Macaca fascicularis: one gene and its partners. The protein of the gene in region 1 interacts with the protein of each later gene in a biochemical or structural test. Links are inferred from orthologs where the notes say so. Each region holds a gene or a part of one and is shown in the gene's direction. Other genes may lie near its edges. The genes, in order: SMAD1, MAPK1, ACVRL1 and SMURF2.

Region 1 (4,282 bases):
AAGGTCATATACTGCATTTCATTGTCATACTTTTTTTTAATAGCTTGAGGTGAAATTCACATACCAAATGATTGACCCATTTAAAGTGTACAATTTAAAGGTTTTTGATATATCCACAGAGTTGCGCAACCATCACCAGAAACTAGTTTTAGAACAATTTTGTCACCCCATAACCTTTAGCAGTCACTCCTCAGGTTCCTCATTTCCCCAACCCTATGCAAACCACCAAACTACTTTCTGTCTCCATAGCCTTGCCTACTCTGAGCATTTCACATATGTGGAAGAATACAACGTGTGGTCTGTCTTCTTCCACTTCACATGTTTTGAAAGGTTATCCATGTAGCATGCATCAGTATCAGTACTTCATTTCTTTTTATGGCTGAATAATGTTCTCTTGTATGGGATACTTTATACTATTTATCAAGGGAGGGTTTTCAATAGGGGAGTGGCCTGATCTGAGTGGCATTTAACAAGGTTCACTTTCCTGTTGTTCTAAGGAGCAAAGGATGATCAACTGCGTCAAACGCTGCTTTTAGGGAAAATAAGATGAGGCCCACGAATTGACCAGTAAGTGCTCAAATAGGTTAAGGGAAAAAGGAATTTAATTAGAAGGCATATTCTGACTGCTGGGAGTGATTTTTTTTATTTTTTATTTTTTATTTTTATTTTTTTGCTTCATGTGAAATTTATTCCTCAAAAAAATCATTCTTGTCTAACTGTAACTCAACATTATAGTAATTATCCAAGATTTTATGCAGTTTCAAGAGTTAGCCAAGAGAAAAGTTGACTCTTAGAAGATATTTTCAGTGTCTATGCAGATCAGGTTGGTAAGAGTTAAGTGCGAAGGAGTTGGCATCATCTAAAAGACTGTAAAAATTGGACCAAAAATGTGGAGTGTTAAAGCAGTATCTCCTTGTGGCATGTCATTTAGAGCAACAAGGTTACCTACTCGAATCACTGGATCCTGAGTTGACATAAAACGCATCTGTTGACTCAGGGTTTGTATAAGCACGTGCAGTAGTTACTAGGCTATCCAATTCTGGGTACGTACAACTTCTGGGGCGTGCAAATTATTGGAGAGTGCGTGAGGGGCAACGAAAACTAGACATAAAAGGGCGCGTCTCCAAGGATAACTGTCAACAGGCACTCCACGTTTATAGAACGATTCGGTGGGCGCGGTGGAAGCATTAATGAACATTTCAGAAAATAAAAACATGGAGTATCGAAATTCACTTGCAGATAATGGACCAAGTCCACTCCACCGGGACTAAAAAGGCAGGGTTAGGAAAGCCTGAACTCCGCGACACTGTTTTTTCTCCAGGAATAAACGGGACGTGGGGCTGCGGGTAGAAGGGGGTGGCTCCGGCCGCTCCCCCGCGCCGTCCTCCGGCCCCGGCCGTGCTGCGCTCACGCCGGTCGGGCCGGGAATTTGGAGAGGATCCCTGGTCGCGCGGCAGCGGCGGCGGCGCGCGGGTGAGCGGGTGAGCGTGTGAGCGAGCGGGCGGGCGGGCAGGCGAGTGCGCCGGGTATTGGCAGCCGAGGAGTGGAGGCTGGGCGGCTCCGACTCCCTGACGCCAGCGCGACCAGATCAATCCAGGCTCCAGGAGAGAGCAGGCGGGCGGGCGGAGAAAGGAGAGGCCGAACGGCTCAACCCGGGCCGAGGCTCGGGGAGGGACCCTGGGAGCGGAGCGCGGCGCAGCGCCCGGCCGGCCAGACCCGGGCCGCGGGACCCCGCTCGCCCGGCCACTCGTGCGCCCGCGCGGACTGGCGCGCCGCTAACCCGGTAAAACGAAACAGACCCAAACCCAACTTTCCCTTCATGCCGCGTCGCCGCCCTCCCCTCGGCGCCCCAGGCTTTCCAGCGCCGCCGCCGTCGCCTCTGCACGCGTGGGGCCACCGCGGTCGTGCTGGGCTGGGGGCGCGGGCGGCGGCGGGGAGGGGGCTCTTTCTGCGCCGGGCGGGCCGCGAACCCCCCACCCCCCATGATGGCGCCTCCCTGCCGCTCTGAGGAGCGAACCTGCCACCGCGTCTTCTTCTCGTGCCCAGCCCGCCGGGCACCCCTGGTGTCTTTGTTGGGTCGTCTGCCGTGGGAAGCCCAGTTCCCGGGCCCCCAAGCCTCGGCCCTCGGGCCCGACCGCGCTGGGACCTCCCCGGCCGCGCTCCCCCTCCGCGCGCTCCTCACATCTCTCCCGTGCGGCAGCCGGGCCGAGGCCCGTTCGCGCGGCCCGCGGACCCATTGTGTCCCCCGCGCCGGCGGGGCGACTCCTGAGGGAGCTGGAGGACGACCGCCTGCGCTGCCCTCCAAGGCGCCTGGTGGAGCGGGTCTCGCGGGCGGGGGACCCCGGCGGCCCGGGCCCCTCCACATCCCGCACGGGTTTCCTTCTCGGCCCCAGCGAGCCTCTTTGGGGTCGAGGTCAAGGAAAGTTCGCACCGAAATCCCCTCTAATTTATTCAAAGGTTTGGCGGCGGCGCGTAATTTTTTCCCCCTCTTCCGCCTACACCCGCTGCGTCTCCTGGTGTCTCATTCCTTTCCCTTTACCGGAGTCGATTGCCTCACTGCATGTGTATTCGTGAGTTCGCGGTTGAACAACTGTTCCTTTACTCTGCTCTCTGTCTTTGTTAGTGTTTCTCGGGGTTGTTTCTGTAGGAAGGTGGGGGTGGTGGGCGTGAGAGACAGACGTGGGCTTGTTTTTCTAGTTGCTGAAGCTGTATGAAGGCTTTAAAGGGAGAACGTTTCCTTGATGTGCTTTAGGAGGGGAGGAGGAACAAATGCCTGCCAGATCTCACAACTACAGTAGCTGAGCTTTTGTTTATTTTGAAGCGCATGCAATTTTTAAATACACGGTGCAAGATAACCAGTAAAGGCTCGTTCCTTCTGAAAATTGAGGCCGGTCTCAACCATCTCCTGAGAAAGCATCGTTTTCGTGAGTGCTGAGACAACTGTCCTTTTTCTCTGCCCTCCCCCCTCTTTTCTTTCCATTGTATCTGAAGTTTCAAAGTACGTGGAATGATAAAGAAGTTGCATGATTTCTGTTATGTCTTCCTGTTGCTGCAACTCTCAGCGGCTAAATCTCAGAATGCCTTTATTTCAGAACATCTCTGGGTCTAATTGTCTGTTGTGGATAACTTGCCCACACCTCGGTAACACAATGAGAAAACTGTTCCCTGCCCATGTTGATTTTTCATCTTGTTTGTAATTACTTTAAATTGTACTGAAGGTGGGTGAGCTGTATTAAAGAAGAATCGGGGCAGAAGTGTTCACTGCCCCAGCATTTTCAATTGGTGTAAATATTGTTGCATCAGTGTTATTCTGATGTAGGTGCCAGATCTAAATATGCTGTACTGATTAAAGTGTTTGTTCTGCCCTCTCCCACTCTCTTTCCTATTTGCAGTTATTTGATATTTCTGTGCAGGTGGTGTATCATTGGTGTAATACTGCAGTTCTTAGGAAAGTGTAACTAGGGTCGTGAGAGATGATTTTTCTGAAGATGGGTGATGCCAGAGCCTCTAGAGGATCCAGGCAGGATCAGGTTTCTTCTGAGGGTAGGGATTTGTCCTTGATTTAGTTTTGACCCCTACAACCATAGGTATGTAACCAAATACATTTTACCCCTTGCAGTATCCTTTGATTTCATATCCTTGAAGAGCTGATGACCTTTGTGTTTTAGAAAAATGACAGTTTTTAGGCAATTAGAGACATTGACGTCTTACACTTCTTGGAATTTAATTTTATTTCTACTAAGTTCATTAAGGCATTAAGAGGAAGTAAGTCACATTTTCTCAACTACGTTGATTACATTTATTAGTTAAAAACTAAATTTCACTTTGTAATTTTGATTTCTAGCAATTCTGGGTTAAAGATAAAATCTAATAACTTAGTGGATTGGAAAAAGAAGTAACTTGGGTGTAATTAGACAAGCATGTTTAAGCTGCAGTAGCCTACATAATCAAGGCCAAGTGTGTGTGTGTATAAAAGATCTCATTTGTGTAGTCTTACAAGGCTAATGGAGGCATCACTGAGGCTTTATAAATAATGTAAGTTGGGTATAATGTAGAGTCTCCAGAGACAGCAGAGAAAGCATCATTACCAGCCTTTTCAACCTGCTTGAGATCTTAAATTGATTTACAGCACTGAACTGGTGCAAAATGATACATCAGGATGACATGGGGTCAGCCTGTAAAAGTCTATGATGTCAGCCTATTAGTTCAGTCATCATAATTAAACCATATTACAGGGGTAGCTAAGCAGGAGTCTGGCGTTATACTTCAGATATGGGTGGTA
Region 2 (3,562 bases), on another chromosome or scaffold:
CTCTCTCTTTTAAGCTCTGCTTATGATAATGTCAACAAAGTTCGAGTAGCTATCAAGAAAATCAGCCCCTTTGAGCACCAGACCTACTGCCAGAGAACCCTGCGGGAGATAAAAATCTTACTGCGCTTCAGACATGAGAACATCATTGGAATCAATGACATTATTCGAGCACCAACCATCGAGCAAATGAAAGATGTGTATCCTTTTTAGGCAACTAGCCAATTCCACTGCTTGGTAACTTTGTTGAGTAAATAGAACTTGAAATTTCCTAAACTTAAAGGAAAAGTGCTTTAAACATGCTAAAGGGAAAATCGTAATCTGTTTGCTATTTACTCCCTAAGTCTAGTCATGGAAAATCTTGGTTAACTCCATTTGCAGTCATGTTTTTTTCTGTCTAAGAGATGGTTTGTTGTGATGATGAAAAGGTAAAGGGAAGATCAGTAGTAGACTAAGAAAGAGGGTGCCCTGGCTATCTACCGGGTGAAATTAGGACTGTCCTGATCTTAGAATCAGGTCACCACTTTAGGTCTCAGTTTCCCCTCCTTTAAAATGAAGGAACTAGTTGTCATGATCTTTAAGGTCAACTGGGCTCTGAAATTATGTGATTAACTATGACCAACATTTAGATATCTGGACTGAATAGGTCTAGAGGATGCTGCCTGGGCAAAGACTCCATTTGAAAGATAGAGAGGTTAAGTATACTGAAGAGGATCTGCCAGAAGGGAGAGGGTTATACAGCACTCCTATCAGTTTACCCAATTTGTATTCCACCCTCCAGGGTGCGGGAGCTCGCTGTCTCTAGGCAGCCTTTCCATTTTTAAACAGCTCTGTTAATAAGTTGTAGTGATATTTGAAGTGAAATGCCTCCTGCCACTACCACCTGTTGGTCCTACTTTACTTTTGCCATGAAAATAAGCCTCTCTCAAATGACAGATTTTAAAATCATGTTTCCTTTGAATCCCATGCTGCGCCGCCTCTAGCATAAATCTGTAAGAAACGGAGAATATTATTTACACAGAGAGAGTAAAAAAAAATGCAGAAATACTGCTAATGAAATAATACTATGATGAAGTTAAAGGCTAAATGCTTTAATAATTTAATTTCTGTTAGAAAGAAAGTAGCCAGCCGGGCGCGGTGGCTCAAGCCTGTAATCCCAGCACTTTGGGAGGCCGAGGCGGGCGGATCACAAGGTCAGGAGATCGAGACCACAGTGAAACCCCGTGTCTACTAAAAATACAAAAAATTAGCCGGGCGCGGTGGCGGGCGCCTGTAGTCCTAGCTACTCAGGAGGCTGAGGCAGGAGAATGGCGTGAACCCAGGAGGCGGAGCTTGCAGTGAGCCGAGATCACGCCACTGCACTCCAGCCTGGGCAACAGCGTGAGACTCCGTCTCAAAAAAAAAAAAAAAAAAAAAAAGAAAGAAAGAAAGTAGCCATAGCTGAAGTTTTAGGTAGTTAAATAAGTGACCAGGCAAGAAAGCAAGAGGAGCAAAACACGCACAAACCCCTTCTTAGCACGACTTGCCCATAGTCTTATTTATTTAGGATCTTAACAGTTATGGGAGAGTAAGAAAATAGATAGACTTAGGGTTGGATTTACTAGTAAGGGTATGTTTCTAGACCTGTATTTCTGGAAGTTTTATGTTTGGCTTTTGAGGAACTTGGGAAAGGAGGGGAGCGGCAACAAAAAGGAAAAAGAATAGTGACATTACAGGTTACTGGACCAAACAGAGGAGGGAATATGTGCTACTTACAGGCCACCAGTATTTCCAACAAACCTTGGAGGGGGTTCGTTGATGGTGGACAATTTAGAGAACAAAGAGGTTGAGACTTGAAGATTGACCAGAATTTCTGTAACAGCCTGTTTCAGATCTCAGTCTAGGCCCATAGCTGCATCAGTCAGATGTAATGCCGTAATTCTTGCCATCTCACAGGACCGAAAAGAAGTTAACGACTTCAGGTTCCTTCCATGAAAGAAACCAAGTTTTCCTCAGGTTTTTCTTTCCTTTAAGGGCCTCATAGTGTAATAATGGACTGTTTGGGAAGAGAGTCAAGAGAGGACGCATTTTTGTTTTCAACGCTTTGCTAAATATGACCAGCTAATTGGTGTTTTACTTAACCTTTGCAAACAGATATATAGTACAAGACCTCATGGAAACAGATCTTTACAAGCTCTTGAAGACACAACACCTCAGCAACGACCATATCTGCTATTTTCTTTACCAGATCCTCAGAGGGTTAAAATATATCCATTCAGCTAACGTTCTGCACCGTGACCTCAAGCCTTCCAACCTGCTGCTCAACACCACCTGTGATCTCAAGGTCAGCCAGGTTATTAACTATTAAGCTGATATATATTGAAAAACTCTTTCACTGAAGCGTAGTTATATTTGTCATTATCGTATTTTAAATGACACCAGAAATGCCCAAAAACATTTTTATGGCAAAAATGCTAGTAGAGTGATAGTCCTCTTCTTCCTTATCCCATTGCTCCTTTTTCCCCAGAGATACTTTTTTTTTTCTTTTTTTTTTTTAAGATAGAGTCTTAGTATGTTGCCCAGCCTGGTCTGAACTCCTGGGCTCAAGCAGTCCTCCTTTCTCGGCCTCCCAGAGTGCTGGGATTACATACATGGGCCACAGCACCAGGCCAAGATAACTAACTACTGTAACAAATTGGTGGCCGGTTGCAGTGGCTCACACCTGTAATCCTAGCACCTTGGGAGGCCGAGGTGGGTGGAGCACCTGAGGTCAGGAGTTCGAGACCAGCCTGGCCAACATAGCGAAACCCCATTTCTACTAAAAATACAAAAATCAGCTGGGCATGGTGGCACGCGCCTGTAATCCCAGCTACATGGGAACTGAGGCAGGAGAACCGCTTGAACCTGGGAAGCGGAGGTTGCAGGGAGCCGAGATCACACCACTGCACACCAGCCTGAGTGACAGAGCAAAACTCCGTCCTCAAAAAACAAACAAAAAACAAATTGGTGTATTTTCTCCCAAAGTATTTTCTATGCTCTTACATACATGTGTACTTTTATACTTTATGTAGGTAAACAGGATCATGTACATTATGTATTAGTTTTAAAATCATCTGTTTCGTTGGTAACATTTTTGTTCAATACATTTTATTCAAAAGATAGCAGCATGAAACTTAACCTCACTGACTTTAATACCTAATATGGCATTCCAACTAAATAAGAAAACCTCAAATTCTTTACAGTCCTCAGAGTTCTCCTGAAAATGTGCAGCATTTACATATTTCTATTTTAATGGGAGTCGCAGGTAAACAAGGAGGGAAATTTATGGATATCTTAGATGTGATAGAGCGATGTCGATTCAGTCTAAAAAAATGCACAGGAATTCAAGAAGACCTAAATAAATGGGAAGATATCCCATGTCCGTGGATCATAAGACTTAATACTGTTAAGATGGCAGTATTCTCCAAATTGATCTGCAGATTTAGTGTAATCCCTATCAAAGCCCCAGCTGTTTTTTTTCTATAGAAATTGACAGGCTGATCCTAAACTTCATATGGAAATTCATATGGAGGACTGATACACTTCC
Region 3 (4,300 bases), on another chromosome or scaffold:
GACTATCACAGACCGGAATTACTCCCCCTGACACTCTTCAACAAACTTCTGAAAAAGTTCAACCCTAGTCAGCCATGGAAGGTCAAACATTCAGTGTCTAAGTGTGTTTCACTTCCCCTGCCACATCACTGGCCCTCCACCCACCCTTTCCTAGATGGCAAGGGGAGAGAAGGGGGCCAGGGAATGACTCTGAGAGGGCAGCTTATACTCTGGTGAGCTTGCAGAGAGGTTCCTCTACACCTGGCATGACCCGGCGCCATCCAAGCTTTGCGTGGTTGTTACAGCCTGAGGGCTCAGACATGGGCTGCCACCACTGGATAGGGACAGTGTGGGGAGAGCACTTGACTAGGAGTCTGGAAGCCTGGGTTGTACTCCTGCTGGTGCCAGTGAGTCCTGTCTGACCCGGGACAAGTCTTCTTCCCTGTATAAGCCTTAATCCTTTCTTCTGTAAAACAAGGAGCTGGATTTTGTGATCCACCTAGAATTCTGTCATGTGGGTGTCCCAGGCACAAGGAACTAAGGGTAGCAAGGAACTAAGGGCATATTTAAATAGCCTCTCCAGACCCTATGGCTGCTGCAGCCCACCCTGAAAATATGCCCTTAGATCCCTGCTGTGCGTGACTCCTGCCTGTTCTATCCAGACCCCAATCTAAACAATCTTGATTCCTGTTCCTGGCTTGGCAGGACCCTGAATGGCAGGAAGTGAAGACAGGAGCCTGTTTATGTTTGAGGCAGCCAGGGCTGGGGGGGCACTGGGAAAGGGTAGGCAGGGGTGAAGGCTGTGAGGGTGTGGGAAAGAGACACAGAACAGAAGGGGAGCTGCTGGAGAGATGCTCCTTCTACCCCAACTGGGTGCTCCCTGCGCCTCTCCCAACCTGCCTCCAGTCTGAGCTCAGCAGCAGGGGTGCAGAGCTAGGGTTTCCCCAAGCTCTCGGTCACTTAAACATGGCTCTCCACCCTTCACCTCTAACAGGATGGTTTCCATGGGGAAGTGAACCAGGACTTCCCTTGCAGGCCCCGCCCCAAAGCTAGGCGGCAGGGAGTAGGGAGGCGGCCTCCCTGCCTCCCCTCCAAAAAAAACTCTCTGTGATTTCCTCTGGGCGGGAGGGAGCCACAGCTGGCGGCTGTCACATTTTGCAGCTCTTACTCCACCTCTCTTGCTCCTCTCTGCAGGGACCATGACCTTGGGCTCCCCGAGGAGAGGCCTTCTGATGCTGCTGATGGCCTTGGTGACCCAGGGTGAGTACTGGGGGAGCAGTTAGGAAACAGGAACCTGGATAGAGAAAGGGCTATCTGGGCCCAGATCAGCTCTGCCTGGGGCTGAACTTGAGAAACTGGGGAGAATTTAGGAGCTTGACTGGAGAATAGAGGAGAGTGAGGCTCCATTAAACTCAGCCCCCAGTTACCCCAGCCCTCCTTTGCTCTCCTCTGGGTCCAGACCTGCAGGCTGGAGCTCTGTCAGGCTAGGGTGGAAGCCTATATGTGGGGCGGAGGGAGAGCAGGTGTTGGCAGGCCAAGCCTGGGAGCGCTCTCAGGACTGGGGCTGGGGGCGCAGCCCAGCCTAGAACTGGGAGGGGAGAACCTAGGAGCCAGGAGGGGACAGAAGCCTGCTTCTCAGTGTCAGCTGCCCTGAGGGGAGGGCTCTGAGGGAAGGATGACTGAGGATGGAAGTAAGGGACCAAAGCTTCAAGGTGTTTGTCTGGGGGGTCAGACGAGAGGGACAATGGGACAGAAATGGGTGTCAGGCTCAGCCTGGGGGAGCTGGGCCCAGAGTGGCTGAGCTTCCGGTGTGTCTCCCAGGTGACCCCGTGAAGCCCTCTCGGGGCCCGCTGGTGACCTGCACATGTGAGAGCCCACATTGCAGGGGGCCTACCTGCCAGGGGGCCTGGTGCACAGTAGTGCTGGTGCGGGAGGAGGGGAGGCACCCCCAGGAACATCGGGGCTGCGGGAACTTGCACAGGGAGCTCTGCAGGGGGCGCCCCACCGAGTTCGTCAACCACTACTGCTGTGACAGCCACCTCTGCAACCGCAACGTGTCCCTGGTGCTGGAGGGTACGTCCAGCTGCCCCAGCACTCCCTCCCCATCTTCTCGGCCCCTGCCCTCCCTTCCCTCCTTTCCTCTCATGCTCTGGCCAATAAAGGGGCTGGGGGCGGGGGGACGGGCAAGACTCTGGGATTTAACTGGCAGAATGGTCTGCCCAAGGTGGGGGAAGTTGACCTAGTGCAAGCTGAGCCTCAATGTCCCCTCCCCCAGCCACCCAAACTCCTTCGGAGCAGCCGGGAACAGACAGCCAGCTGGCCCTGATCCTGGGCCCCGTGCTGGCCTTGCTGGCCCTGGTGGCCCTGGGTGTCGTGGGCCTGTGGCATGTCCGACGGAGGCAGGAGAAGCAGCGGGGCCTGCACAGCGAGCTGGGAGAGTCCAGTCTCATCCTGAAAGCATCTGAGCAGGGCGACAGCATGTTGGGGGTACGGGCCTGGGGACCTGGGACACAGGGTGGAGTGGGGCAGATAGCAACTGCGGAATCAGAGGGGTCATCCAGAGAGTAGAGCCGGTGGGGAGCTGGGCGAGTGAGGAGCTTGCAGTGACCCAGCAGGTCCCAGGTTGAGGATGGAGAATGGGGCTGCGGCTGGTTAGGGCAGCTTTTGAGTGGCCTCTCCATACCCCCAGGACCTCCTGGACAGTGACTGCACCACAGGGAGTGGCTCGGGGCTCCCCTTCCTGGTGCAGAGGACAGTGGCACGGCAGGTTGCCTTGGTGGAGTGTGTGGGTGAGCAGTGGGTGAGCCCGGTGGATGAGGACCAAGGGCTCTCATGAGCCTTGAGGGGTGAGGGAGTTCTTGGCTTCCGGAATCACAGGCAGTGCCAGGCCTGGGTCAGAACTGGAATTCTGCTGGGCAGGGAGTGGGCTGGAGACGGGCCAGGGCTAGGTTCTTTCTGCAGGACCGGGGTGGAACGAGAGGCAGCTGGGGGTGGCCTGCCGCTGGGTTTGGGTCTGGATTAACTTAAACCTAAGGGTCAGGGGTTCTGTGGGTGGGGTGGGCGAGGGAGGCAGCACAGCATCAAGATGAGGGGCTCCTCCAGGGCTCTGTGTGCCCAGTGTGTAACCCTCACCTTCCCCTCTGGCCATCAGGAAAAGGCCGCTATGGCGAAGTGTGGCGGGGCTTGTGGCACGGTGAGAGTGTGGCCGTCAAGATCTTCTCCTCGAGGGACGAACAGTCCTGGTTCCGGGAGACTGAGATCTACAACACAGTGTTGCTCAGACACGACAACATCCTAGGCAAGGGGAGGGGCCGGCTGTGCCAGGCCTGGGGCTTTGCCCTCCTGCACTCAGGGCTCGAATTCACAGACCTCCAGACATTAACAGAACCCTGAAGGACTCCCAGCCCACCTGCAGCACCAACCTCTTTTTTTTTTTTTTTTTGAGACAGGGCCTCGCTCTGTCACCCAGGCTGGGATGCAGTTGTGCAATCTCACTGGAACCTCAATCTCTTGAGCTCAAGCGATCCTCCCACTTCAGCCTCTTGAGTAGCTGGGACCACAGGCATGTGCCACCATGCCCAGCTAACTTTTTTATTTTTTGTAGAGACGAGGTCTCCCTATGTTGCCCAGACTGGTCTCAAATTCCTGGGCTCAAGCAATCCTCCTGCCTTGGCCTCCCAAAGTGTTGGGGTTACAGGTGCAAGCCACTAAGCCAGGCCCAGACCCAACCTCTGACTCCAGCTCTGTCTCTGACCTAAGCCACATCAACCCCCACCCCAGACCTTGCTTAGCAGTGACCCAGCCCATTCCCTCTCCCCCGACCCCACCCTGACCCTGACCACTCCAGCCTCCCTTAGCCCCAGCCCCTTGGCTGAGTCACCCGACCCTTCTGTGCACAGGCTTCATCGCCTCAGACATGACCTCCCGCAACTCGAGCACGCAGCTGTGGCTCATCACGCATTACCACGAGCACGGCTCCCTCTACGACTTTCTGCAGAGACAGACGCTGGAGCCGCATTTGGCTCTGAGGCTAGCTGTGTCCGCAGCCTGTGGCCTGGCACACCTGCACGTGGAGATCTTCGGTACACAGGGCAAACCGGCCATTGCCCACCGTGACTTCAAGAGCCGCAACGTGCTGGTCAAGAGCAACCTGCAGTGTTGCATTGCTGACCTGGGTGAGCTGGGCAGGGCAGGGGCAGACCCTTCACAGGTGGGCACAGCCCGTGCTCTCTCCTCTCCTTTGCCTATGGGCGGTGACCATGATTGGCGCTTGAAAACAGAGGTGCATGTTGTCTCAGTTCTCCTCTGCAAGACCGCATGA
Region 4 (3,562 bases), on another chromosome or scaffold:
CTATTGGCTTTTACTGTTTCTTCTCATTTTTGGTTTGAGGATTATCTACCTCCTCTTCTCCCACAGACCTCCCTCAAATAGAAACAAAACACCCAACACATTCAAATTACATTTACAAGTAAAATCAGAAAAAATAGTCATTTTTGAGTGAAAGAGCTCTTTATTCTAGTTATTGGCATGTATGCTGTAAGTTTAGAAAGAAATTTCATCAAGACTCAAGTAGACGTCCTGTTTCCTGGGAGCTTCTCTGATTCGAAGGGTTGCTCTGCTGATGCTGCTGCTGTTAGTAGAAGTTTACCACTTTTCATCAACACTGAACTGTGTCACACCTCAGGGATCATTTATCCCCATTAGTCTGAGATTTATTTTTAGACTTTAGGCTAAATTATTAATGTTAGATGCTTGTAAAATGCAATGTTGCTAAAGTAGAGATTTATAATAATTACCAGATCTGAAAATATATGTGATTATACCCAATCCTGCCTAATGTTTACAGGCTCTATGTGAACTGGAGATTTTTACGAGGCATTGAGGCTCAATTCCTGGCTCTGCAGAAAGGATTTAATGAAGTAATTCCACAACATTTGCTGAAGACATTTGATGAGAAGGAGTTAGAGGTTAGTGCATTAGTAGTATAACATCACTAGTATAACAAGAAAGGATTGGGAATTATTTTGTTACTTAATTTTATAGGAAAGTCATATTTCTGGTACTTTCTAAGTTTCATGGTTCTATGCTTGAGAATTCTTATTCACAGGAAAAGTCTTTCATGCTTTTGAAGGCCTTTCATCCTTTGGAATTTCTGTGAGTGAACAATCTCTCTCCTCTCCTCTCCTCTCCTCCCCTCTCCCCTCTCCCCTCTCCCCTCTCCCCTCTCCCCTCTCCCCTCTCCCCTCTCCCCTCTCCCCTCTCCCCTCTCCCCTCTCCCCTCTCCCCTCATTTTTTCTGAGACAGGGTCTCACTCCGTCACCCAGGCTGGGGTGCAGTGGTGCAGTCATGGCTCACTGCAGCCTTGGCCTCGTGGGCTCAAATGATCCTTCCACCTCAGCCCCCCAAGTAGCTGGGACTACAAGCATGCACCAGCACGCCTGGCTAATTTTCTTGTTTTTTTTTTTTTTTTTTTTTTTTTGGTAGAGACAAGGTTTTGCCATGTTTCCCAGGCTGATCTCAAACTCCTGAGCTCAAGTGATCTGCCTGCCTTGGCCTCCCAAAGTGCTAGGATTATAGGCTTGAGCCACCATGCCCGGCTTGAGCAATCTCTCTTATATTGTGAACATTTAAAATTTATTTTTCTATCCTGTACTTTCTTATTTTAAACAGATTTCATGACTTATATGTACATTCTTCCAATATATATTTATTCCTTAACTTAGTAGTTACTGATTTAGTTAAGTAAAACCTCATTAATCTACCATATTGAAATTAATTTGGGTAAGAGCCTACTCTCAGTTGGTTTTACACTAAGCTTGCAAGAAAGCATTTGATAGACAAGATCACTGAGAAAATAACTAAAACACCTAGGAGAAATTGTATCTTTTTTTTTGAGACAGAATCGCCCAGGCTGGAGAGCAGTGGCATGATCTAGGCTCACTGCAACCTCCACCTCCTGGGTTCAAGTGATTCTCCTGCCTCAGCCTCCCAAGTAGCTGGGACTACAGGCACCCGCAACCACGCCCGGCTGATTTTTATATTAGTAGAAACAGGGTTTCACCACATTGGCCAGGCTGGTCTGGGACTCCTGACCTCAAATGATCCACCCACTCTGGCCTTCCAAAGTGCTCAGATTACAGGTGTAAGCCACCGTACCTGGCCTCTAAATGTCTTTAGATTAACAGCCATACAAAACAGTTAATAGTTTTTTGTTTCCTTTTAAAGCTGTCCCTTAAACACCTCAGGTCTGGTTTTGTAATTAAGACCTTTGACAAATACATCTGAATTTCCTACTGAACTACTAAGAAACATGAGGTTTAATTCTATTCAGGCTCCCACATTTATTTAGTAGTTAGGGATAACACAAATATTTGAAGTCTACTAATAATTTGAAACATGATTTTATTCACTGCCTTCAATGTCCTTTCTAACTAAATCTGTTAATAGACCTGTTAGCAAACAAATCTAAAAAGGTTGGTCTTACTTAATACTCTCCCCATTCCTTTTGTGATTGAATTGTTCATAGTAAAATAGCCAGAAGGAAGTAGTTGGAGGAGAACGCAGCAGGAATGCCGATAAGGTTGCAATATAATGCATTTTCATCTCTTTACACAATAAACAAGGATTTGGCCTTCTAACTGCCATTCCTCTGAGGAAAAGAATTTAGGAGGAGTCTTTTATGTCATTAAACACACCCATAATCCTTTTCGGATAACCTCCTCCCTGTTCAGTGTGGTGTTAACTCAGTGAACCCTGTAGAAGCTTTGTTGGAGATTTTATTTCAGAACCCTATGGAAGCCTTACTGGAGACTTTATTTGGTAGGGTTAGGGTTTTGAATATAGTTTCTACTGCTAATGAGTCATTATACTTTTTCTTTTTCTTTTTTTTTTTTTTTTTTTGTGGAGACAGAATCTCACTCTGTCGCCCAGGCTGGAGTGCAGTGGCGCAATCTCTGCTTACCGCAACCTCCGCCTCCCGGGTTCAAGCGATTCTCCTGCCTCAGTCTCCCGAGTAACTGGAACTTCAGGTGTGCACGACCATGCCTGGCTAATTTTTGTAGTTTTAGTAGAGAGGGGGTTTCACCATGTTGCCCAGGCCGGTCTCAAACTCCTGAGCTCAGGCAGTCCACCTGCCTCTGCCTCCCAAAGTGTTAGGATTACAGGCATGAGCCATCGCACCGGGCCTGAATCATTAAACTTTGTATTTTTATTTTTGAGATAGAGTCTCACTCTGTTGCCCAGGCTGGAGTGCAGTAGCATGATCCTAGCTCACGGTTAACTCCTATGCTGAAGTGATCCTCCCACCTCAGCCTCCCCGGTAACTGGGACTACAGGTGTGCACCACCACACCTGGCTAACAGTTTTTTGGGGTTTTTGTTTTTTTTTTTTTTTTTGGAGAGACAGTCTTACTTTGTCCCCCAGGCTGACAGGATCTCGGCTCCCTACAACCTCCACTTCCCAGGTTCAAGTATTCTCAAGCCTTGGGATTACAGGTGCTCACCACCACGCCCGGCTACCTTTTTGTATTTTTAGTAGATACAGGGTTTCACCATGTTGGCCAGGCTGGTCTTGAACTCCTGACCTCAAGTGATCTGCATGCCTTGTCCCCCCAAAGTGCTGGGCTTACAGGCGTGAGCCACCACACCCTACCCATTTTTAAAGACGATATGTATAACATTTATTTTAGTGGTGTATACATTAATCTTGGGTTTAATTAATTCTATAAAATCTAGGATTTGCAAGTTATGTTTTATAGTACACATGGAATTCGCTATTATAAACATGTTAGATTAGTATGGTGAGTTAGTCTTGGACCCTAGGGAGATGTATTAGTAATATCAAAATGATTTGGATATAGTTCATCTGTGTGACCCTCCCATCAGGATGTGTTTAGCAGAGGTCTGTATCAATG

The links.
Region 2: of the proteins of SMAD1 (region 1) and MAPK1, one has a biochemical effect on the other in vitro, tested with the Homo sapiens proteins (3 studies listed by BioGRID). The link is inferred for Macaca fascicularis from reciprocal best matches to the Homo sapiens genes SMAD1 and MAPK1.
Region 3: of the proteins of SMAD1 (region 1) and ACVRL1, one has a biochemical effect on the other in vitro, tested with the Homo sapiens proteins (2 studies listed by BioGRID). The link is inferred for Macaca fascicularis from reciprocal best matches to the Homo sapiens genes SMAD1 and ACVRL1.
Region 4: the proteins of SMAD1 (region 1) and SMURF2 form a complex in vitro, tested with the Homo sapiens proteins (2 studies listed by BioGRID and IntAct, with this or other methods). The link is inferred for Macaca fascicularis from reciprocal best matches to the Homo sapiens genes SMAD1 and SMURF2.

The regions. Positions count from the first base shown.
Region 1 is NC_088379.1:150,367,347-150,371,628, forward strand, and holds the start of SMAD1 (mothers against decapentaplegic homolog 1), read left to right. Parts: upstream 1-1,424; 5' UTR 1,425-1,481; intron 1,482-1,585; exon of another isoform or gene 1,586-1,783; intron 1,784-2,523; exon of another isoform or gene 2,524-2,924; intron 2,925-4,282. UniProt on the Homo sapiens protein: Transcriptional modulator that plays a role in various cellular processes, including embryonic development, cell differentiation, and tissue homeostasis.
Region 2 is NC_088384.1:31,317,827-31,321,388, forward strand, and holds part of MAPK1 (mitogen-activated protein kinase 1), read left to right. Parts: intron 1-14; coding exon 15-197; intron 198-2,130; coding exon 2,131-2,320; intron 2,321-3,562. UniProt on the Homo sapiens protein: Serine/threonine kinase which acts as an essential component of the MAP kinase signal transduction pathway. MAPK1/ERK2 and MAPK3/ERK1 are the 2 MAPKs which play an important role in the MAPK/ERK cascade.
Region 3 is NC_088385.1:58,748,145-58,752,444, forward strand, and holds the start of ACVRL1 (activin receptor type-1-like), read left to right. Parts: upstream 1-1,469; 5' UTR 1,470-1,664; coding exon 1,665-2,052; intron 2,053-2,254; coding exon 2,255-2,466; intron 2,467-2,668; coding exon 2,669-2,768; intron 2,769-3,130; coding exon 3,131-3,277; intron 3,278-3,878; coding exon 3,879-4,154; intron 4,155-4,300. UniProt on the Homo sapiens protein: Type I receptor for TGF-beta family ligands BMP9/GDF2 and BMP10 and important regulator of normal blood vessel development. On ligand binding, forms a receptor complex consisting of two type II and two type I transmembrane serine/threonine kinases.
Region 4 is NC_088390.1:71,142,369-71,145,930, reverse strand, and holds part of SMURF2 (E3 ubiquitin-protein ligase SMURF2), read left to right. Parts: intron 1-496; coding exon 497-617; intron 618-3,562. UniProt on the Homo sapiens protein: E3 ubiquitin-protein ligase which accepts ubiquitin from an E2 ubiquitin-conjugating enzyme in the form of a thioester and then directly transfers the ubiquitin to targeted substrates.